Linked DNA regions of Bombyx mori. The protein of the gene in region 1 binds, or shares a complex with, the protein of each later gene. Links are inferred from orthologs where the notes say so. Each region holds a gene or a part of one and is shown in the gene's direction. Other genes may lie near its edges.

Region 1 (4,260 bases):
TAATTTTAAGTATTATGAATACCATAAGGTTCTATGTTTGTACGTAGCAAATCACATTAGTTGCTGATTGCTGTACTATTCTCGATGGATTAATAAAGGCTGTTTGTTATACGACCAAGTTAAGTGCGTAGTGACTATTGATTGTGAGTTTTGTCTCTCGTTTGTCTCGTTCGAGTGGTGCGCCGGATGTTAGTCAAAAACAGTGTACTGGTTTGCCAAGAGAAGTTACCTACAGTTGTGTTTAGTTAGCAACGCATAACGTGTTTGTACTTTAATTTGTTTTTTAGTTGTACTCTTGGAAATCAATGGTTATTAATTTAAGAAAATAAAATGTATGTCAAATATTGTTGAAAATGTTTTATTTTTTATCCGTCTTTTATAGCGTCAAACGAAAAATCAGTTATTTCCTGGAAACATCGGGGTTAGCTTTGAGAATGTTTGGAGATCACAGTATCGATCAACCCGAATTGTACTAGCGAACATTTCAAGAAATCTTGCAAGTGGACATATTTCAAACCTAACTTTGGACTGTGGGTGCATTATTTTTAGAGCGTGGACTGTATTTTGGTGCTAGAACCGGTCACCATCCTCGTTGAACCCGTCGCTTGCGACGATGGGCTCGACGAGTGAATTAGCCCATAGACACAGCCCACTGAGTTTCTCGTCGGAGCTTCTCAGTGGGTTGCGTTTCCGATCCGGTGGTAGATTCTGCGAAGCACTGCTCTTGCTAGGGCCAGTGTTAGCAACACTTCCGGTTTGATCCCCGTGAGCTCACCTATATGTTAGGATGAAGCTGAAATAGCTTTTCAAGGCTATAGCAAGGATATACCATAGGTAGGAAAAAAGAAAAGAGAAAAAAAAGAGGTGCTAGCTTCAATAAAAACTAGATTCAGAGCGAAGAATTTTTGATGTACAACACGTGCACGTACGACCAGAATTTTATTGTAATTCTCAAATATTAAGTGTATAATCTATGATTGTAACTAAATTAAATGTATGGACTTTTTGGCGGGAACGCGAGGAGTGAAGTTGTGTGATTGGTTTTATTTTCTCTATTTAGTGTTTCTTCAGGTTTCAGTGTGTAATAACGGTGGTTTATTAACTGTTTAATATCTGCGAAAGTGCACAAATGTGGGAAAATGAAACAAAGCCGCTAGACGTAGCAATACGGGATCCTCCAAAAAGTCCACTGAAAAAATCTTAGTAAATGACACCATTTTACTGAGATTATATTTCATCCCATATCATCTCATCTCATTTAATTTAATTTCATTTCATTTCACTCCATATTATCATTTTTCATAAAAATAAGAATATAAATTAAAATAAGACATGACCTAAAGGTCTTAGTTACCAGGTCATAACATCCTATAAAAATTTACCATAGGCTATAGAGCTCAACTATGCGCCAAGCGAAGGCTAAATAAAAATTAAGAAAAAAAAATCTTCTGTCAAAAGGTCCGCCGCCTGCCACATGTCACCACATCGTTTTTATTGTGATTTATAATAAACTATTAAATAAAATACTTTCTAAACATGGTAAATAACACTCTTATACAAAATTTTAATGCCTCCAAAGTTATTGTGTGAAATATCAAACAAATTCAATCACAAACATAGCTATGACTATAAATTAGGTAAATTACTTACTCATGTAATTCCAGAAACCTCTTATGCTGCAAGGGCACCAGCGTGCCATCACACAGATCAAATATAACCGCGAGGGTGACTTGCTCTTCTCCGCCGCTAAAGATTCAAAACCAAATGTTTGGTGGTCACTGAACGGCGAACGTCTTGGCACTTTCAACGGCCACGGTGGTGTAATATGGTGCCTTGACGTCGACTGGCAGTCAATTAATCTCATCACAGGTGGTGGCGACAGTTCCTGCAGGTATTATCCTCAGTATATTATAAACAAATAAAGTGTTGAAAATTGCATTCTTTTTTCATGTTGTTTGCTCAAAGATGAGTAGGCTGTTGATAACACTAAACGATGCACAGGTTATGGGATCTGGAGACAGGCAAGAATATTGCAACACTCAAATCCAACTCTTCTGTAAGAACATGCAACTTCAGCTATAGTGCATATCAAGCTGCTTATACCACTGACAAAGCTATGGGACACCCTTGTGAGGTAATTACATAGTATATACATTTTATTTAAATAGAGAAACATGAATTGAGGATGAGAAAGACTAATGGATATTATGACTGGCAACTTTAACATTAGAAGAAAAGTAAAATTGTATGCAAAGCTAAGCATAAATATTATTATAGTTGTTTCCGTTTCAGAACTTTCATTCTCTATTAAACCACAATGTGAACTTGTCTGCTTCACTTCAAAGTGGTTTATTGAGGGCCATGCCTTAAAAAAAATCTTATTTTTTGTTCTTTAACATATCCGTCAATTAATGATTACAACTTAGTATTCAAGAGTAATTCCTACATACCTTGTATTTCTTTAAACTAAGATTTGTTGACAGTACAAGTGTCATTTATGCTGACATTTCACTTTGTTTTTTTTTATTATGCTCCAGACATTTAAAATTTATTATTACCGAAAGGCTCACTTGTAAATTTAATACCCTTTAACTTAAATCACAAAATATTTTGAGCAGGAAATACCCTTTTTCAAACTGAACTGAAACTTTGGAGTCGGTTAAATTATAGTGTGCTTAGGTAGACAATATCAACTCTTGGGAATCTCTATTTTAACCCTTAATGTGTTTCCTATATACATATACAGTAAGTTTTTACTAACTAGTATTATAATTTTGTATATCCTGTGATAACAATTAAGATATAAAGTATTATGTCAATTTACAGGTGTTCGTTATTGATACAAGAACAATTGATGAAACAGTGTCAGGTCAAGCTCCTATTTTAAAATGGGAAATCACAGATTCAAAGGTTACTTCAATGATTTGGGGTTCTTTAGATGAGACAATTATCACTGGTCATGAAGCTGGTGACCTTATACAATGGGATCTGAGGGTATGCAAATAATTATTCAATAGACTAAGTAAATTCAAATATTATCTACTTTCTCCATGCAAAAAAATTATCTTTCATAGAAATTATTCTGTTTATTTTTAAATAGTGCTAATGATATCTAATTATTTTTCAGACTGGTAAAAAAATCCACTCTGTTAAAGAGCATACCCACCAAATCACCGATATGCAACTTTCTCGTGACGGCACAATGTTTGTAACTGCTTCCAAGGATCATACTGCTAAGTTATTTGACACTAACTCATTAGAACTTCTTAAAGAATACAAGACAGAGAGACCTGTAAATTCTGCTGCTCTCAGTCCAATCCTTGATCATGTTGTACTTGGTGGTGGTCAAGATGCTATGGAAGTGACAACCACATCAACCAGACAGGGTAAATTCGATGCTCGTTTCTTCCACTTAGTATTTGAAGAGGAGTTTGGCCGAGTGAAAGGTCACTTTGGTCCTATCAACAGTTTGGCTTTCCATCCAGATGGAAAGTCCTATGCTTCCGGAGGTGAAGATGGTTATGTTCGTGTTCATAACTTTGATCAATCTTACTTTGACTACACTTTCGATTACAATAGGGAGTAGTTAATTTGCAATACTCTAGTGTTTCATAAAATTATAAGAAAATAAAGCCTCATTAAAGTTTTTTGTATATCATTTATTTAAATGCATGCCACTTTATCAATCTACATATATAATAAAACAATTAATTCAGTACGTCTATACATTTAGGAAATTTTATATAAGTAGAAAAATAATAATTAAAGAACAGTAATAGAACATAAACTGGACATTTTTAGAATTGGTCACCATTTGTCTGTTCACCCACATTTGTCACATATTTCTGAATCTATTGAAAGGATTTTCACTGCATATATATTGAAACATTGTATGGAAATAGTTTAACCTTTAAAAAACTGGGATGCCTTTCATTCCACTGCTGAGCATGGATCTCTTCCACCCATGTGATATGTAATGCAGCAGAAAGCTAGTTTGTAATATATTCTGTTAATCCCATTATTCATTTTCAACAGACTATTTCATGATGGTACATATTTAATAATAAAAGGTAAAATTAAATATATAAATATAAAAAACGAAGGTATAAATAATGAAGATTTAAAAAAATTATAGTAATATGTCAAAAAGAACAGATCTCATAATAAAGAACATAAAAGTGGGTCAATAAACAAAAAAATTGTAATAGATGCAACATTTATTAATACAAAACTTTACACTTATGGAATACTTTGATCACA
Region 2 (4,262 bases), on another chromosome or scaffold:
ACTGCGGGCGCGCTGCTGGCGCTACCTGCGGGCCTACGGGGGGCGCGTGCTGCAGGTCGCTCGTGCTGCAGGCACAACAATATGACATGCCCTTCTTCAAACGAGGCTTGTAGAGAGTACTTAACGATAGGCAGCGGCTTGGCTCTGCTCCTGGCATTGCTGAAGTCCATGGATGACGGGAACCACTCACCATCAGATGGGCCGTATACTCGTCTGCCTACAAGAGCAATAAATTTATATTCTTATATTTATATTTATATAAATTTATATTAATTCAAAATAGTTAAAAAATTTCATGATTGTCACATTTCCTCTATGATTGGATAAATATACATATTTTCCTAATTTTAAACAAATGTACATTTTTCAGAAGTCTCAGCTGGATGAGGACAGCCGCGTAGATTACGTGGTGTGCGACGACGGCGCCGCGCCGCGAATCAAGGGCCGCGCCGTCACTGCAGCCTGGCTGTGGAAATGTCATCAACAACGAAAACTGTGTCCAATATAACGACAGCTCAACTTGTGAATTCCTTTCATTAAATAACTGTCAGCTAACAACGCCTTTTCTTTCACAAATCTCAGTAAATGACCACCATTTTACTAAGATCCCATATCATCTCATTTCATTTAATTTCATTCTAGTTGATTAGGGTCAATTCCCACTGAAAGAGCAGCGGCCGGCAGCGTCTTTTTTAGGCAAAATATTACAAACTATTTTGAATCTTATCTACGTGATTAAAAAGTTCATAGTCATTTGAAGGCAAAGGAGGGGTAGCGTGACGTCGCGAGGCTGCACGAGCCTTCTACCGACTAGTCAAAAGAGGCGCCGCGCGGCTGATCGCGGCGCAGCTAGCTGACGTGCGGCCGACCGCGGTGCAGCTAACAGACTCGCGGCTGCGCGCGAGCGACCATTTCATACCCGCCCGCCCTGCCGCTTACGCATTTCGCGTCATTTTATTAGAGGGTATCAAGTTAGAACGTGCTACGCTCCGTGAGAAAAAAATGTACCCAAAATTTTCTTTTCCTTTTTCTTTCCGTTTTGTTTGTTACTTCTTGTTCTTCTTCTACAGCCAGTGCTATGATACATAAATCCAAATCCACCATATTTATTGCCACACAACTTTCCTTGAGTGAAGTAGATCGCACACTAGTTTTCAAAGCTACTACGCGGAGGTTCATTGCGGCGCCTCGGGATGCCGCGCTGCCTCTCGCGGCGCCGCACTGCCCCGCGCGGCGCCACACTGCCCCTTGCGGCGCCGCGCTCAATCACTTGCTCTTACGGCCGCTGCGCGCCGCTGCTCTTTCAGTGGGAATTGACCCTAATGTCTCAAATTAATCATCTTCATTTTATTTCATTTCACTCCATATTATCATTTTTCATAAAAATAAGACATGACTTAAAGGTCTTAATTACCAGTTCATAAAATCCCTAAAAAAATTAAAATTAGCAGAGATAATACCTACAATATTCTCTTGTACTCTGTGTTTCTGGGTTTGTAGTTTTGGTCGAATTAAAAATGGCTCTCAATATTAGTGTGAAGGTCCATCCTGTTGTTTTATTTCAAATTGTGGACGCATACGAACGTCGAAATGCAGATTCTCACAGAGTTATCGGCACCTTATTGGGTTCGTATTGATTTATAAATCATGCAATAACTATAAATTCAAAGGACATTAGTTGTCAACGTCATGTCGTGTACCAAATTTTATGAGTTGTTATTTAAAAGAAAAATCCCTAAATGCTAAATATGTACGTCAATTATCATTACACATTTCACTTTGGCTTTTCCACATCAACGTTATAGTTAATTTGATAAATTCCTTGGTCACATAAGCCAGGTGCAATACAAATGTGTAAAGGCGTTGTAAGGTTATGTTGTGCTGTTGCTGCAGGCACGAGCGACAAAGGAGTGGTGGAAGTAACCAACTGCTTCTGCGTGCCACACAAAGAACATGCCGATCAAGTCGAAGCGGAACTTAATTACGCGATGGATGTTTACGAGCTGAACAGAAGAGTCAATTCCTCTGAAAGTATTGTTGGTGAGCTATACCTGCATTATACTCAAATTCACATATGTAACAATACTCACAGACGCATACACACACAATTTACACTAATTATTATTATTATTATTATTATTATTAATGCTTTATTTCAGTTATTATTTTTTTTTAAAACCATAACATTTTGTTAGTAATAATTACTTATAATCTATGTTAGTAACTTAAAAATCTAACACATAACTATCATTATATTATACATTTTATACCATTATATATTATTATTTTTCTCCTTCCAAGTGCCTACTGCAAAGGCTATTGATCAGCAGTCCCTCGATCTTGCTCGATATGATTCTCAAAAGACTGTTGTCACTGTCACGAACTCGACGCAATAACGATGCACTTCTCTTCCGCATTATTGCAAAGAAGTCATCTGTGTGAGATGTCGCAAACATTGTGGATGCACTACAAAAGCGCGGCAGTGACAACATCATCCTAAACGCATTATTATATTGGACACGTAGGGCATTGTAAGCTCTCCGCGTGTATGTGGTCCACAGACTACTGGCGTAAAAATTCTGGCAATAAGCTTTAAAAATTGTAAGTTTGACATAGCTATCGCAACCAGTAAATCTGCGGGCCAGCATGTTGCATCTTACTATCAACTAATTGCCACATCATCATCATTTTCCTGCCCTTCTCCGAGTCACCTGGAGTCGGCGCAACATATTTTCTCCGTTCATACTCCTCTATCATAATACCATTTCTTCGCTCATTCCACTCTTACACATATTGTCCTTCATGCAATCCATCCATTTCTTCTTAGGTCTACCTCTTCCACTATAGCCTTCCACATTTATAGTTAACACTCTTGACAATTGCCAATTAATAAAATTGGATCTTTTACTTCCCTTAGCATACCTTATACATTTAAATTCAAACTCATTTGTATTATTTTTAGGTTGGTGGGCGACTGGCAATGAAGTAACCAACCACTCCTCTGTTATACACGAGTATTATTCCCGTGAATGCCGTGAGCCTGTCCATGTTACTCTGGACACTTCGCTGGCTGGAGGTCGAATGGGTTTACGTGCATATGTTTGTGTACCATTGGGAGTGCCAAATGGAAAGCAAGGTTGCATGTTCACTCCTGTAGATGTCACTCTCACATGCTATGAACCTGAGGTAATTATTGAAGATTTTGTACTGTATTCATTGTCAATATTTGCTTTATTAAGCAAAAATATGGTGAAAACTGCTGAAAGGCCATTAAACTCTGACTGTTACAGGTTTAAATTTGTGTTCAAAAGGCTTCAAAATCATGAGCTGTTTTAGACTCAAATTTGTTAATATTTCAATATCCATGAACTCCAAAACTGCATTGTGTGGAATCACATATTGTTATATTGTTAAATAAAAAAAGGGTGCGTGTACTTATGTGCGCGCGTAAGAAGTTATACTTAATTTTTATTAATTTTTTTTTTTTAATAATCATAAATTAATAATAAATATTTAATGTTAATAATTTAATAATGTTTAGTATGAATTACAGTCAAACCTGGATAAGCGAGAGTTAAAGGGAGCACAATCTCATTCTCGCTTATAGAGGTTTCTCACTAACCCGAGTTTCTCCCTAATGAACCCTCTGAATGTCATTTCGCGATTTTCCAGATTCAAACGCATTCACTATTTTAAGTTTATCACTTAATGACAGTACTTTAATTTTCCGTTTTGACATGATGCAGAACAGATTTTTCCCTCGCGATTGATTAACGATAAACTGAGTAAGTCTGACAAACAGGACGGTACACCGGGACACGTGTCCATTCGAAAAGAATGCGATAAATTAACAACGTTATTTAGTTCCACGAAATAGAATAGGTTCTATATTGACGAGAAAACAATACAAAAACAATGTTAAAAAGTTCCATGAAATTTAAGAATGGGTCATAAAATAGCAGATGTTAAATTTGTAATTTGTTTTGTCATTTGTTCCTCCTAAATAATATTATTATAAATAAATAAAGCTCGACTGTCGCTTATAGAGGTATAGACAAGTAGCAGTCTCACTTACGGAAGTCCATAAGGGAAAAAACTACTCTCGCTTACAGAGGTTTCTGTCTCTCGCTAATAGAGGTCTAAGAAGCTAAAAATGACGGGTCCTGGCTATTACTCTCATTTATAGAGTTTTCTCACTTATCCAGTTCTCACTTACCCAAGTTTGACTGTATATTAAAATCCCTTATTAATCTGGTAATTCC
Region 3 (3,500 bases), on another chromosome or scaffold:
CCAGGATTCATTGATGACCTAGTCAAGAATATTTTAGTCCAGAGTAAGTAAAATTCATTGTTTATGACTTCATTGATTGTGTTTGTAATTCAAATTGCTGATTTTTGCTGTGAAACAGTAATGCATTCAGTTTGAAGTGTAGTGTAGCCGTTGTACTGCACAATTTAGACTTTCGACATAATGTCTCAAGGAGTATGGCAGCATTCACATTGTGATGTCACAGTAACTGCTTGTCACCAGGTGGGCCGTGAGCTCATTCACCTAATAATAAATAAACATATAGTTCATGCTTAATATGGGGCTTGGTTCTGCTTAATACGTAATCATCATCGTGAAGTAAATATCTTCTCATTGTCAGTGGTGGTCACCAATGTAGAATATGACATTTATAAATGAAATCTTTCATTTCTAGATTGAAGTTAATTCAGAGCAACTCCATTATTATGATTGTGAACTTTCTTTCATTAGATGCCGCTAAAGTGTAAAAAGTCTTATAAAATTTAATAAATTCTGGATTTTTTGTTGCGTTTCGCTATGAAGGGCGGGGCGGCTGTCGTACTGTTAAAAGTGAGACCTTTACATCTCATGTCTCAAGGTGGGTGGCGGTATTTACGTTGTAGATATCTATGGGCTCCGGTAACCATTTAACATCAGATGAGCCGTAAATTTGTCCACCCAACTATGCAATAAAAAAACATATCCAGATTAATCTGGTACGCAAGATCTCATCTAAAGTCATTAGGAAATAAATTTTCTTACTATGCTTAGATCTTTTCATATTACAAGAAATGTCATCTGCTTTTATCTGTTGTGCAGCAGCCATTATGCTTTTATGAGATATCAGGCTTCATGGCTGCATGTTAAATCATTGGCATGATGCATTGAACGTTTAAGATTTTAATGACATATCTAGCTTTCAATATCTCCATAAGAGAATAATATTTCTTCTAATTGTGATCCTCAAATAAATTTATTTTGTCATATGATCTTTTTAGAGAGTTAATACTTATGTAATGTGTTAATTGTATGTGAAAGTGTATTTAAAATGGGTGAAGTATGACTAATATGATAAAGTATGACTGAAGTATGACGAAGAATCTATAATTACAGTGTCATCAGCGGATATCCGACGAATAAAATTGACTGTCGATAATCTATATATTGAAAAACAGAAGGCAGAAAAGAATGATAAAACTAAGAAGGCCACAAAGGGCAAGGGCAAGGCCAAGTTAAAACTTGAAGGGGACAATGTGAGTTTATTTTTTATTTAGTTATCAGTAACTCGAATATCCAGTAATTAAGGTATGTTGTAAGGTTGCGTTTATTACTGGTGATAGGACCTCTTGTGAGTCCGCGCGGGTAGGTCCCACCCTGCCTATTTCTGCCGTGAAGCAGTAATGCGTTTCGGTTTGAAGGGTAGGGCAGCCGTTGTAACTATACTTGAGACCTTAGGGCTTATATCTCAAGATGGGTGGCGAATTTACGTTGAAGATGTCTATGGGCTCCAGTAACTACTTAACACCAGGTGGGCTGTGAGCTCGTCCACCCATCTAAGCTATAAAAAAAACAAAACAGTCAGCTCTGATGGGCATAGCGGTTCTGTTAATATCTACAACAAACAATCAACATTCCAGTTTAAATCTGAGACTAAATTATGTTTTTATGTAGGCAGTTCACATGAGTTAAAGTATCCACATGATATGTAATCTCCCTAAAGTCTACAATACGAATAAAAAAAAACAAAAACAACTCAAAACACACAGTCCTTTGACTTCACATCTTAATAATCCAATTACAATATTTTGATGTTTATAAACAGCAGAATTTTGCATTAGCGCAGACAATTTACATTAAAAAAAAAGTTGTGTTTGTACCAAGGAAAACTTTTGTAAAATTACCGTGCAAATTTCACGAAATAATGATAATTCGTGTGATAATGATAAACGTGATTGATAAGGAAGTGTAGGCTGTCGATAAGCTGATATCAGACCGCGCTAGTATCGACATAGGTCAAGTTCGTGCCTAATCTATACTTGAACAATAATTGTATATTTAGCCAGTTTGATTTTGTGAGAGAAAAACAAAAACATTTGATTGAAACAAAATTTACCCTTGCATGAACCTACAGTACATAATGCTTATAGCGTCTCTTGAACATTTAAAGTCATTCCAATTCTTTACGGATGGAACTTTGTTGGTATTATTAGACATTGCAATTGCTAAATTGGAAAAATATATTGATAGTTGTTCATTCGATTGTGAGATGATCAGTGTGATTAACAGGTTTAAATATTACAATAACTTCATTGATCCGGTGAATTTCTGACGCTACGAAAGTAGACTAGTAGAGAAATCAAATGTACATCTATACTAATATATAAATCTACAGTGGTTTTTACGAATGTTCCATTATAACTACTGAACTATGCATCCGATTGACTTGAAACTTGGTATCCATGTAGAAAATACATGTACTTAATAGATAGGCTAATATTTCTATGAGTTTTGGACTCCCTAATAATAATGTTAATTTTAAATGCCCAACGAAGCGGGCGAGTACGGCTAGTCGCATATAAAGCCAATTAAACGGATCTTTATACTGCACTAAATCTCATTCAATAAAGAAACTCGTTGAGCTCACTCGTACAATTTTTTTCAATTTTCACTATTTTCTCAATCGTGGGTATTTATATATTTACACTTTTCTCGTTTCAGGCTCATCTCAATCAATACGAATCATATGGGAATTTCGATGACGACTACGATGATTTCATTTAAATAAAGCCAATAAGGAACTTATACACAAATTTGATGTCCGAATTCATTGAATTTTCAACTTCATTTACTATATAAAAAAAAATACTTTCCTATATATATATATAAATGTTTTTTGTAGAATGATATTGCGTTAGTCTGTTTTCTTGTAATCTCGTTTTATTTATTGTCGGTAATCGATTTGGCACTGGCCAAAATCGATATTGTCGATAACAACAATCGATTTATGTAATTCGGACATCAGGTAAGAAAATAATCATAGCATTGTTTACGCTAACGGTAATGGTAATGGTGTTGCTATGATAAAGTTTTAAACATCCGGTTGGAATGCTTAAATTATCGATTATGTAATACATAGAGTATCTTTGGTGACATAAAATCGAACTGAATTGTAAGTAATTGGGCTGTTACCTTAATCCATTGTTGTTACTTCTATAAACTAATCTACACAATTTAGCAATCCAACTCGATAAATATATAATATGCCATTGTATAGCATATAAACATACTATATACATGTAATGTACAGTTTCATTGAACGATTATTTGTCCGATGTTATATATAGAGAATAAATTTTTTTATTGTGATATTATTTTTGTTTTATTTGATCAACACGTTTTATTGTATTATTTGTGTGTTCAATATTTGTTAGCAAATGACCAAACACTGGTGTTACATATTTAAAGGTATTTGCCAAAAGCATTTTTTGTTGGGATTAGATTAG
Region 4 (3,978 bases), on another chromosome or scaffold:
ACCGTGGAGGGGAGCTTATTCCAAAGCCGGACGGTACGTGGCAAAAAGATCTCTGGAAACGCCCTGTGGATGACCGCAGTAGTTCCAGGAATTATGGATGAACTCTATTCCGGTGGCGGGCGGTGTGATGGTAAAAACGAGATGATGGTTTCATGTCTAACAATTCCTTAGAGCACTCCCCATGGAACATACGGTGCAAAATAACAGAGTGAACCCAAGTCCCTCCGCAGACACAGAGGTTCCAAACGATCCGTGAGAATGGGATTATCGACAATCCGAACGGCCCTCCTCTGTATGGAGTCAAATGGAAGAAGCTGGTATTTGGGAGCCCCCGAACGGCTCTCTTCTGTATAGAGTCAAATGGAAGTAGCTGGTTTTTGGGAGCCCGGCCCAGAGGTCGGAGTAGTACTCCACACGAGGCCGGACCTGTGCTTTGTAGAGCGAGAGTCTTAAGCAAAAGTCGTAAGTTAACAAAATGTTCCATAAGGTACAACCTAATAAATAAACGATTAATTACAAATTGACGAACGGTAAAATATAAATACAGCGATAACGCGAATTGATACCACTTCCTTATTAAAGCAAATAATGAGACCTCACGTCTATAAGTGTAATTCGAGCCATATCACTTAACTTTATAGTATTTTTTTTAATTCAAAATCTGTAAGAATGTAATACAATTTATACATGGATAATAGAAAAAGATTGAACAACATTTGAGATTTATCATATAAATAAAAAATCTTTTAAACCTTAATTTTTATCATTACTAAAAATGGATTTGTTAAAGAATATTTACAAGATCATAATGCATTAATTGTTTTACATTTATACCGTAAACATTAGGATTAACTATCATTGTGATCCATAGTACAATACGCAAAATTACGGCACTTATTTATTGCATTGTAACTGGGATATAAAAACTACTATATTAATCTCATTAGCGTGTGTATGTCTTCGTATACCTACTCTTTTTAAAACCCAGAAATTTGTAAAAACTGGTATATAGTTCCAACAGTGTTTAAGTTTAATCGAGATGTGATATTCGTGGTAGTATTTTTAAAGGCTAATCTGTCGTATAGTGTCGATTGCAAATAAGGTATCGATTACAATTATCGATAGCTATTGATAGTCGATTTGGAGAGCTACACTAAAATGTAATCAAATCAAACGTTCTCTTGTGAATTAAAAATGGCGAGCCGTGCTGGTTCAGCTAGACGCGCTCCTGAAAATGAAGCGACGATCCAATATGTTCAGTGCGATGGACTGGTAAGTAAATTTAAAATTAAAGTTTAGATAGGTTCTCTGAGACGGACGTCAACTGTAGGTTTTAAATTAAAAACTTTGTGAAAGTTCGTGCCTCGACACGTCATGTATTTTTACCATTTAATTAATATATAGAAGTAAACATCGTCAATTAAGGTGGATTATTATGATCTGGAACATGATTCGTGTTGTATGATTTTAGGAGATCTTAGATTACAATAAAATAGGTTGCCGTTGCAATAATAAAGATAATTGTATAGGTTATGTTTTCAATTTTGTGCTCTCGTTTCTTTTTAAATAAATCGGGCAAACGTTGACAATTCACCAAACCTTGAATAATTCGTTATGTTAATTTCTATAGGATTCTATGAACCAAAAAACTTTCGATATAAAAAGAAAATAAAAGACTACAAAGGTTTTTTATTTCTGTTTACAACATATAAACGTTGTTGAGTCATTGACTGTTTTGGGACATTTGCCCTGAGCCCGGGGGTCATTGAAATAGGAGGATGATCTCACCTAACTGTACATCTAAAACATTAAATTTTCTCTGAACTATATAATTAGTGTTTTAAACTATGCTTCATTACAAAGTTTAGATCTTGATAGTATATGTGAAGTCATTTTTTGTTATATACTATACTACTATTTACTGATAATTTTATAGTTTCCTAACTGTAAATGATTGAGATTAGTTTTTGTTCTGATTGATTGCAAATAGCAAGCTGATTGATTTCCTACACATACACAGAAAGTTAATATAGCAATAATTTATTAGGGATGGGTAGGTATTAATTTGTTTTGTTAAACTTGTTACACATTAAAGTGTATTTTAACTTGCCTTGAATAATATCCTCTCTGAAGTTATTTAGTTGAAACATGCTTAAAGTAGTGGTAAAACAGTTTAATATGTGGTAATCAAACAAATCCTCATCGAACTAACTCAAGCATTTGAAATGACAGATCTGCTCCCACTTTTATAATATATTTGTGCTTTTTATTTTAGGCAGTGATGAAAATAGTGAAACACTGTCATGAAGAATCATGCAGCAACATGGAGGTGGCTCAGGGAGCTCTCCTTGGTTTGGTCGTTGAGAACCGTCTGGAGATTACCAACTGCTTCCCATTTCCAAAGCATGACGACACCATGGATGAGGAGGAATACCAGTTGGACATGATGAGGAGGCTTCGAAGAGTCAATGTTGATCATTTTCATGTTGGATGGTAATTAATATTGAAAATTGTTTTATAGTATGTCAAAATATGTCATACAATATTTTAAATTAGAACAGCAGAACTTTCTTTTTTCTTATACCTCATATCTTTCTTCAGGTACCAGAGTGCAGATGTAGGCAATTTTCTAAGCCTTTCGTTATTAGAGTCACAATATCACTATCAGACCTCTATTGAGGAGAGTGTTGTTGTGATTTACGATACAAAGAAATCAGCCAGAGGATTCTTGACTTTGAAGGCCTATCGTTTGACACCTCAGGTAATTAAGCTCTCATAACTATACACATTTTAAAGTGCTAATGTTGTTAATTGAGCTTTATGACAGAACTAATTTCTGAAGTTGAGCTATTTTATTTATTTATATTACGTATATTTAGTGAAGTTATCACTTGTTAATGCTAAGTGAATGGCAGAATCTATATTTTTGAGATATTTTAAATGTTTTTTATGGGGATACTATCTAAGTGGTCCATGCAACCTGCAGATATCACAACATGAGTGCATTAAGCGGTAGGCAGCGGCTTGGCTCTGCCCTTGGCATTGCTGAAGTCCATGGGCGATGGTAACCACTCACCATCAGGTGGGCCGTATGCTCGTCTGCCTACAAAGGCAATAAAAATAATAAAAAAAAATATATTTGATGTCTCACCATTAAACCAGAATGAATGTATGATTCCCAGCAAATATAAAGAGGATGGTAATGTATGTTCTTATACACATGTCTTAAGATGTAAGACTGTTCTCAATCCTTAAACACATTATTATTACGTGCAGAAATAATAGTAACTTGGACTCACAATATGCTCATCAACAAGCAAGTAAATTATTGTTGTTTTTTTTTTATATTTATATTGTGAAAACATTATGTATAGTTGGGTGTTCATGTATGAATAAGAATATATGTAAAATTGAGGTTAATACTTACTTTACAGGCTATTGCTATGTACAAGGAAGGCGATTACACTCCGGAAGCACTACGTAACCTGAAGATTGGCTATGAAAATCTATTCATTGAAGTGCCAATTGTTATCCGGAACTCTCCATTAACTAACATAATGATCTCTGAGCTCACCGAGATGATACCTGAAGAGGAAGGATCCAAGTTTTTGGATCTGGGTACTGCATCTGTTCTCGAAGGTTTGTTTAATTTTACTATGGTATACAATTATCAGAAAAGCTTTCAAGATTTAGGCTACATCTGACTACATCAATTATGGGTTGATTCCTTTGCTGCAATCTGAAGCTACTACTTTTCCCAGTAGTTGTTTCCTAACTGCTATATTAAACTTGTAATTTTTACTATGTGGAGGAATGGCAATAGACAATTTTAAGCAGGTGAGCTTTCACTATCATCTTGCTTATTAATTCTACTAAGAAAGTGTCCTCTTAAAGGGTACAGATAAACATCCATCCAATGTCATTAAAACTTCGATTCCCTTATGTTAATATGAGGTGGCTCTTAAGAGCCTGAAGATT
Region 5 (3,957 bases), on another chromosome or scaffold:
AAATAATTCATGGTCACAAGCTACACCCTCTGCTATGAAATATTTGAATAACACTTTGCTGTACACACCAAGGACATCTTCCTCTGAAAAGTAAATAAGGTAATTGAAGTCCTTTCATTGGAATTAATAACAATGCGTTGTGTGAATATAAAAATCATATTAATCTTACTTTCTTAAAATGCAATGTATTGAAAATTAAATGAAGTTATGATAAAAAACTAAATATTTTTAATTTGATTATTTATTAAATTTCATATCCATATTTATTTATTAAATTTGTTTTGGCTCTAAGATATTATGCAATTTTAAAAGAAATTCACGAACCTACAACAAAAATGCTGCCTGCAGGTATTCCTCCACCTAGAAAGTGTAAAATTATATTTATTTTATTGATTTTTGTAAATATATGACAATAAAAACTTTTATAAATTAAATTTGTTCCCTACAATTGTTTAAAATTGATTTGATCTTGTTTTGCCAATCTAATCCATTAAACATAATAGTAAAACTTACCAACTATATGGTCTAAGGATGGAATACCGGAAGATACGTATGGTAGGTTATTTTTCACTTTTGTGCCATTTATATGCGTACTTATATCTATAAATTTTCGAAAACTACGCATTTTTTATTAATATATCAAGCCGATTTCTGTAAAATATTGTTTATCGATTAAAATTCACTACCTACGATGTAGGTATTTTTCTTTTTGAAGTTTTTGTGATTTGGTAACAAGACCTTTAAGCCAGATGTAGGTTTACAAATTTACGAGATATAGTTGCCACGATAACGGGTCTTTACCAATAAGTTACTGTTTTAAAATACCATTTGAAACGTAGTTTATGCATTTCTGACAGTAAATTCCTAATTCAACTGAATTTTTTATTAAAAGTCACAATTACTGTTTAGTGGTTTAGTGTCGGTATATTTCTTAAATTGTGTAGTTTTGTTCTTATCAAATGCCATAAGTATTACAGTGGATGTGTACTGTGAGGAACAAGGCACAATATTGGAGAAGCTCGGGAATCATATAATTTCCAAATTGAAGTCACACTAACACCTTATAATGCTCACGTTGCAATTCATTTCTCTTTATATCATTTTTCATAAAAACAATATACAAAAGATTAGGCTATATGTTATGATACCTTTGCCCTCTCAGTTGGAAAAACTAGAAATACTACTCTATTAACTGTCATATCGTTTGCCACATTTCGTTGCTAAGAAATCGTTCTTGCATTCACTTTAATGCTTATAAATAATAAATAAAAGAATACAGTTCAAAAAAGGAATTAAAATGCAAGGGCCAGCTGTGTTTATGGACATATCCCTGGAAGATCAGGTCAGTTTATGTCAACATAACCTGTCGTTCAAAACAAATTATTTGCTGCAATGTGTCTACATGCAAATTTTAATAAAATTTCTTTCTTGATTGAAGGCACTCGAACTGAGAAGATATTTTAAGAGCCTTGGCGCCGAGATTTCAGAAGAAAAATCACCTAAGGGCATTGAGGATGATCTGCATAAGATCGTTGGGGTTTGTGATGCTTGTTTCAAAGAGCCGAGTGAATCGGACATCGAAGCCATTCTGAACAGTATTGTCTCTATTATGGTTTCTGTAAGTTGAACGCAAAAGCTATAGTTATTTTTAATAAGAAACATCTAGGTGTACTTTAGCATTAATTAGAGTACTAAGCGGTAGGCAGCGACTTGGCTCTGCCCCTGGCATTGCTGAAGTCCATGGGCGACGGTAACCACCATCAGGTGGGCCGTGTGCTCGTCAGCCTACAAGGGCAATAAAAATAAATGTTTGATAGTTGACTCGCATACTTACATATATATTGCAACTAATATTCACAGATACCATTAGAAAGAGGAGAAAACCTTATCTTAGCATTTAGTCAAAGGCTCACTAAGGCTCCTGGCCCTAAACTTGGAATGGTAGCTTTGCAATCGTAAGTATATAGAGGTTTTTTTAACTATGCAAGTAACCTTTATTATTCAACCAACTACATCACTTATCAGATCTTAGTTACAAAGATTTAAGTGAAATCACAGGTTTAAATCCATCATGACATAGGGAATAAGGCTTTTTATTTCTTGCCCATAAATGTTTAAAAATGAATGTTGCAATTTTTATTTTTTTATAATTTATTTAAATGTCAAATAAACAATATTTTAAAATCATTAAGGACAGAAAAAAATGTGTCAAATAAATTTACTTATTTTTGGGATTAAATGGATCCAATGTACATGTCTTCACTACATAGTATAAAACAAAGTCTCTTTCTCTGTCCCTATATCCCTATGTATGCTTAAATCTTTAAAACTACGCAATAAAATTTGATGCAGTTTTTTTAATAGATAGAGGCATTGAAGAGGAAGGTTTATATGTATAATAACATCCATTAAATAGTGGAGAAATCAATAATAAATTACAGTTTCCGAAGCGAAGCGAGGGCGTGTCGCTAGTAAAATATAATAAAAATAGATCCTAGAATTCCAAATTGGTATTTTATAGAATTGAAGCAGAATATGTATTAATGATTGTTAGGGAAAAATGCATAAGGCTTACAGAAATGCTTGATGCTTGTGTGTGAATGGAAGTATGATTAAGTAATAGTATATTCATCAAAAGTTTTAATTGTGGCACAAAAAGTGGAACTGCTGACAGGAAAGTAATGAAAAAAAATTTATACCAAATAATCACCCAGCAGTATTTAGTTTAGGACAATCACTTTCATCCACATGAAAGATAGTAATTTTGCAAAATGTTTGTTTCATAGGTTATGGAGACTTTACAACAACTTAGAACCCAACTCACCTCTAAGATACCATGTATATTATCATGTCATAGAACTGGCTGCACGAGTTGGATTTGTCAGGGAAGTCTTCACTGGGGTTGAGCAGCTTAGGAAAGAGTTTGCTAACTGCCCACCCTCTAATGAACAAATGCAGAAATTGTATCGGCTTTTACATCAAGTGTTAAAAGACCAAAACAGGTATGTTCTCACTACATTAAATTTATTAAACAATGACCATATTATTTCTATGAGTGATGTACCAAAGTCTGATTGCTTGTTAAGGAAACATTGTTATTAATATTTCTCAAAATAGCAAACATATTTCACCAAAAGAGATTCTATGTTTAGAATTATGTTTTGCTATTTGAAAATTATTTTAGTACTATTCATTTTGTGTTATTTTTTTTTTTTTTATTGCTTGGATTGCTGGACGAGTTCACAGCCCACCTGGTGTTAAGTGGTTACTGGAGCCCATAGACCTCCACAACGTAAATGCGCCACCCATCTTGAGATATAAGTTCTAAGGTCTCAAGTAAGTTGCAATGGCTGCCCCACCCTTCAAACCGAAACGCATTACTGCTTCACGGCAGAAATAGGCAGGGTGGTGGTACCCACCCGCGCGGACTCACAAGAGGTCCTACCACCAGTAATTACGCAAATTATAATTTTTGCGGGTTTGAATTTTATTACACGATGTTATTCCTTCACCGTGGAAATCAACCGTGAACACTTGTTGAGTACGTATTTCATTAGAAAAATTCGAACACCGGGTGCATCAACACGAATGCACCGGACCTCTTATCTCTTAGGCCACAACAACTTAATTATAAAAGTAATTTAAGTATACGATGTGCTGTTGTCATTGGACCTGCCTGATTTTAAAAACTGCTATCTACTAATAAGAGGATTATGTATGTAATATATTAAAAAGATGACAGCCTTGCACAGGAATGTCTTTCTTACAAGGGCACTAAATAAATAGTAAGTAAGTAGATTTTTGTAATCGCTTTGAATTAGTGTACAATACAAACTCGAATGTTCCGTTAAAAAATATAAATGTATTTTATTTACAGTGAACTAGCTGCTAAAGTAATGATTGAGCTACTGGGCACATATACAGATGAAAATGCTTCATATGCAAGAGAAGATGCAA
Region 6 (3,980 bases), on another chromosome or scaffold:
ATCTTATCAAACTTTGCCATACATTAGTATTCCTTATCACACAAAATGATTACACTACTGAATTTTGCAAACCACTCACATTAAAAACATGCTAAATCTTTATAAACAGATACATTTAATAGATTAATAGACCCTTTTAGTTGTTGTTTAAAATAAATCTTTAATTTGCTATAATTATTGCTATTTCCCAAGTAGTTTATTCATTTGTTTATTTTGTTTACCAATCTTGATATCTGCAATCTCAACTTTGTCTTGAATAGTATCCACGAGGTTGTTTTGCTGTTCTATCTCTTCACCAAGTGCAACTCCTAGATGTTTGAGCCGGGATATAGCATGCACCATTTCATCCAAGTTCGAATCAAGTATATTATTTACTCTCTCGTTTTCTGTTTCAGGACTCTTAGCGCTTTCTTGAGACAAACCATGTAGGCGTGCTGAGGGATGACTCTCAAAGCGATCTTCAACGTTCCTAGACATATTATCTAGGGTTTCATCAAGCCTGCTACTACTTGTACCAGCATTACGTACATTCGAGGTCGCTGGACTTTTAGATGGTGTTTGATCACTTTTTCCGGAAATATAATTCTTCAGACCATAAAATACAGACTTTATACCATTTAAATGTTTTTGACTATAGTTTAAATTGGTGTTAATCTCATCAAGTCGCCTGTCTGTGTTCTGTAGCTGTTCACGTTGTCGGGAAAGCTCTTCGGCCGTTGCAATACCAATTTGTTCAGAATCACGAAGCAATCCGATACTTCTCGTTGATGAATCTATTGTCCGTTGTTCGATTTCTCTTTGTGTTTGGATCATAGCTTGGCGTTGACGTTCCAGTTCTGCAATATGACCTCCATAAGGCTTATTTGCTTGCTGTGTTTGAGGTATTCTTGACCGGAAGCGATCTACAAATTCGTTATCATCGACGTCGTCATTTTCGAATAGGTTGTTCGGATTTGTGAAATATTTATGCCCAGACATTGCTTAAAATGTAATTTACTACGTAGGTGTGTTCTCGTTACTTTATTGGTGATGTTCAAAAAGAATGCACTTGAAATTATGGGGGTGGTAAGCACAGATAATACACAATTATTATGGTAGGTATGTACCATAAATGTTTATTTTAGGTTTAATTTATCTGATACGACGAGCAAAGGGATGTAGCCAAATAAAACGATTTTTTTAAGTGTCTGTCTAATTGAACAAAAAAAGTCAATATGCCACGTTCCCTTTGCCTTTCCAATTGAACAATTGAAACAAAGTTTAGCTCTTTGATCAACTTTGATGCGTTTGACGTATGAAGTGAGTCGTGGGCAAGGTCTGTATTTGAGAGCTTTCTTTCTATTCGCTACAAATTTATTAAGTCTATCATCAGAGGATTGCTTGAAAACTGAATACCTACTCTGTTTTTAATATAAGACAGTAAGTATTGTAAAAATGTTAAACAGTTCTAATTTATAACCTCAACGCGAGGACAAGTCAACTATTTATTACTAATTTTGATGTTTATTTAAGATATTTAAGAAAATAAATTACCATTGGAGTCAAATAATGTTCATTTGGAATTAACGAAGTTTTCTTTTACAGAAGCATTAACTAACTCTTGTAAATATGAGTCGTTTCTTTGCAACTGGGACGGACTCGGAGTCAGAGAGCAGCAGCGAGGACGAGCCAGTAGTACGCGCCCCCGCGCCAGTTTACACGGTAAATTTAAAATAAATAATTGGGAATCAAGGAAACAAAATTTTCAATTTATAGTTTAAAAAAAGATAAATAGTTTTTTAAGTTACCAAGGGAGACTAACATTAATCTCATGTAGGATGACAAGATATATGAAACTTTTTTTCGGTAATCAGCAATGCAATTAGCAAAATTTTGTAACTCTTTTAGAAGTTTTGAAAAATGTGATCCTTTAAATTCTTTCCTAAATGTCCACTATCAGTAGCTAATAGAGGGGGTAGCGATCAATAATGTATTTCTGCTCTGCTCGCAATCTGCTATTGTGCCAGCTTACAGCTTTCTAACGACTTGTCCAAAAAATTGAATGGGCAAAGGGAACAGCCATATTTTGTAATGATTGTGAAATTATTTTAATTATAAATTTTATTTCTTGTATTCAGTCATCTTTGTAAAATATGGTATAATATTATTAAAACATTTTTAATTCATAATAAATAAGGTATGACATAGGATTCAACCCATGTTAAATTTAAAATATCTGAAAAAATCCCACAAGTTACATCTTGGCAGGACAAAGGGTTGCTCGTGCTACTCTTTCGTTCCTAAACTCTTAGTAGACTTGTTGGTCAACTGGCATACTGCTTGAAAGATAATTTGGAGTAATATAATAATATACATGGATAAATAATTTAATAGTAACAATAGTAAGCCACTAAAACTTCTATTTATTTCAATTATGAGTTTAATAAGTGCATCTAGTGATTGGCATATCAATTTGTTATTAATTTGTCTTGACTTGTATAACAAGATGCTTTGATTCCGGAATAGTACAGTGATGTGAATTAGATATGTGTTGTTCAATCAATTTTAGAGAATCAGATCAATACTGACCTGTTGACAAAATGATCCGGTTCGTTCGACCCGTTCAGTCAAACGTTTGGATTTCCGTTAATCACACCAATTTATGATGTGATTAATATTATCAGGTCACTGGCTGAATGAAGTTTAGTATTGAATAACAGTTTAAAGGAACTGTTATAGTTCGATTGTTTAGGTGAGATAAAAAAAATTCAAATACGTTATGCGTCATTATGCGACAGCGAACGTCTAACCGAGACGGGCGCGGGGCGAGACCCGGCAACCCGAAATGACCCGAATGACTGTTGCATGGTTCTTTTCTTCTGATTCGTAGGTTTTGTTAAACGGGTCAATCTAGTGAACGACTCATATTTTTTGAAATGTTCGCGCGGATTTTGAAACCCGGGTCGTTTGGTTCGTTCGTTGGCGAACGACACATATCTAATGTTAATTGTAATAAACATTAAACATATGCTTCAAATTTTAAAAAGAAAATGATCAGACTAAAAGTTATAAATTGATTGGGAGATAAGAGTTGCTGTGTTTTTTTGCTAATTTTTTTTTTGTTGTCATCTTTTAATATTGTATATTGTTAACAGATTAAAAATCTTAAAAGTGCGCCATTGTGGGAAAATTCTACAAGATTATAATTACAATTCACAATATTATTATAGTCCCAAGTCATTTCAGTAAATTGCCTCTATTTTGAGGTATGCACTCAGGATAAGTGAACAACAGGAAGGTTGCGTATACTTGTGTAAGAAGAGCCTGCGCTACCACGGCATGCATGTTTTACATGTCTTAGTTTTGGTCTTCAAATGATGATTATTCGAGTATTGAAAATTTCTTCCATTATAATATTGCGTTAATAAAATCAACTGGATAGTTATTTCTTATTAACACTAGCTTACTAACAACAGCTCTTACCGAGCATGGTTGTAACTCTAGTTAATGTTCTATTGTGATACATTAACCTCTCCCCAGTGCGGTGTCCTCTGAGCGGACTCCACAGATACGTGAAATGTCAAATCACATTTATCTATCAACAGGGACCCGTCCGCTCAAAGGACTTCAAACAGACGCGGCCAGTGGCGGCAACAGTGCCGCGTCCGCTCAGCGGACTTCCTATATTAAGGGCTATTACATTATTTTACTAGAGTTCTCGTTCTGAAGTACTTTCAAAATCGACTAAGCATGAATAGGTTCGCCTTATTACATAAAATTTGTTTGGTCTGTGGTACAAAAATTTTTCAAGATCGTTGATTTAGTTGGTGGCAATTTCAAACAAATTAATACATGTCTATTTTACATCTTTAGAATTATAAGCTTAGAATAATAATTTTTTCAAATTTTATTTAATAATTCAGTCAACTGTAGAAGAATATTGAACAAGAAAAGTACAATTAATTATAATTCTTTATATTGGCAACAGTTTAGTGACGATG

The links.
Region 2: eIF3i (region 1) and eukaryotic translation initiation factor 3 subunit F share a complex: the UniProt entries of both Drosophila melanogaster proteins name them as parts of the eukaryotic translation initiation factor 3 (eIF-3) complex. The link is inferred for Bombyx mori from reciprocal best matches to the Drosophila melanogaster genes eIF3i and eIF3f1.
Region 3: eIF3i (region 1) and eukaryotic translation initiation factor 3 subunit J share a complex: the UniProt entries of both Drosophila melanogaster proteins name them as parts of the eukaryotic translation initiation factor 3 (eIF-3) complex. The link is inferred for Bombyx mori from reciprocal best matches to the Drosophila melanogaster genes eIF3i and eIF3j.
Region 4: eIF3i (region 1) and eIF3h share a complex: the UniProt entries of both Drosophila melanogaster proteins name them as parts of the eukaryotic translation initiation factor 3 (eIF-3) complex. The link is inferred for Bombyx mori from reciprocal best matches to the Drosophila melanogaster genes eIF3i and eIF3h.
Region 5: eIF3i (region 1) and eukaryotic translation initiation factor 3 subunit M share a complex: the UniProt entries of both Drosophila melanogaster proteins name them as parts of the eukaryotic translation initiation factor 3 (eIF-3) complex. The link is inferred for Bombyx mori from reciprocal best matches to the Drosophila melanogaster genes eIF3i and eIF3m.
Region 6: eIF3i (region 1) and eIF3c share a complex: the UniProt entries of both Drosophila melanogaster proteins name them as parts of the eukaryotic translation initiation factor 3 (eIF-3) complex. The link is inferred for Bombyx mori from reciprocal best matches to the Drosophila melanogaster genes eIF3i and eIF3c.

Annotation. Positions count from the first base shown.
Region 1 is NC_085121.1:5,018,518-5,022,777, reverse strand, and holds eIF3i (eukaryotic translation initiation factor 3 subunit I), read left to right. Parts: upstream 1-1,460; 5' UTR 1,461-1,536; coding exon 1,537-1,539; intron 1,540-1,664; coding exon 1,665-1,891; intron 1,892-2,001; coding exon 2,002-2,134; intron 2,135-2,826; coding exon 2,827-2,994; intron 2,995-3,127; coding exon 3,128-3,586; 3' UTR 3,587-3,787; downstream 3,788-4,260. UniProt on the Drosophila melanogaster protein: Component of the eukaryotic translation initiation factor 3 (eIF-3) complex, which is involved in protein synthesis of a specialized repertoire of mRNAs and, together with other initiation factors, stimulates binding of mRNA and methionyl-tRNAi to the 40S ribosome.
Region 2 is NC_085124.1:490,865-495,126, reverse strand, and holds the start of eukaryotic translation initiation factor 3 subunit F, read left to right. Parts: upstream 1-1,462; 5' UTR 1,463-1,517; coding exon 1,518-1,626; intron 1,627-1,893; coding exon 1,894-2,040; intron 2,041-2,962; coding exon 2,963-3,186; intron 3,187-4,262. Other genes in the region: DNA repair protein XRCC1, read left to right, coding at 1-55, 371-508. UniProt on the Drosophila melanogaster protein: Component of the eukaryotic translation initiation factor 3 (eIF-3) complex, which is involved in protein synthesis of a specialized repertoire of mRNAs and, together with other initiation factors, stimulates binding of mRNA and methionyl-tRNAi to the 40S ribosome.
Region 3 is NC_085125.1:12,545,423-12,548,922, forward strand, and holds the end of eukaryotic translation initiation factor 3 subunit J, read left to right. Parts: coding exon 1-43; intron 44-1,110; coding exon 1,111-1,250; intron 1,251-2,715; coding exon 2,716-2,778; 3' UTR 2,779-3,139; downstream 3,140-3,500. UniProt on the Drosophila melanogaster protein: Component of the eukaryotic translation initiation factor 3 (eIF-3) complex, which is involved in protein synthesis of a specialized repertoire of mRNAs and, together with other initiation factors, stimulates binding of mRNA and methionyl-tRNAi to the 40S ribosome.
Region 4 is NC_085110.1:3,930,549-3,934,526, forward strand, and holds the start of eIF3h (eukaryotic translation initiation factor 3 subunit H), read left to right. Parts: upstream 1-1,178; 5' UTR 1,179-1,194; coding exon 1,195-1,272; intron 1,273-2,275; coding exon 2,276-2,493; intron 2,494-2,601; coding exon 2,602-2,761; intron 2,762-3,434; coding exon 3,435-3,639; intron 3,640-3,978. UniProt on the Drosophila melanogaster protein: Component of the eukaryotic translation initiation factor 3 (eIF-3) complex, which is involved in protein synthesis of a specialized repertoire of mRNAs and, together with other initiation factors, stimulates binding of mRNA and methionyl-tRNAi to the 40S ribosome.
Region 5 is NC_085119.1:6,794,689-6,798,645, forward strand, and holds the start of eukaryotic translation initiation factor 3 subunit M, read left to right. Parts: upstream 1-1,157; 5' UTR 1,158-1,297; coding exon 1,298-1,342; intron 1,343-1,438; coding exon 1,439-1,618; intron 1,619-1,860; coding exon 1,861-1,955; intron 1,956-2,786; coding exon 2,787-3,002; intron 3,003-3,877; coding exon 3,878-3,957. UniProt on the Drosophila melanogaster protein: Component of the eukaryotic translation initiation factor 3 (eIF-3) complex, which is involved in protein synthesis of a specialized repertoire of mRNAs and, together with other initiation factors, stimulates binding of mRNA and methionyl-tRNAi to the 40S ribosome.
Region 6 is NC_085122.1:5,758,885-5,762,864, forward strand, and holds the start of eIF3c (eukaryotic translation initiation factor 3 subunit C), read left to right. Parts: upstream 1-1,180; 5' UTR 1,181-1,315; exon of another isoform or gene 1,316-1,419; intron 1,420-1,584; 5' UTR 1,585-1,608; coding exon 1,609-1,701; intron 1,702-3,967; coding exon 3,968-3,980. Other genes in the region: soluble NSF attachment protein 29, read right to left, coding at 181-978. UniProt on the Drosophila melanogaster protein: Component of the eukaryotic translation initiation factor 3 (eIF-3) complex, which is involved in protein synthesis of a specialized repertoire of mRNAs and, together with other initiation factors, stimulates binding of mRNA and methionyl-tRNAi to the 40S ribosome.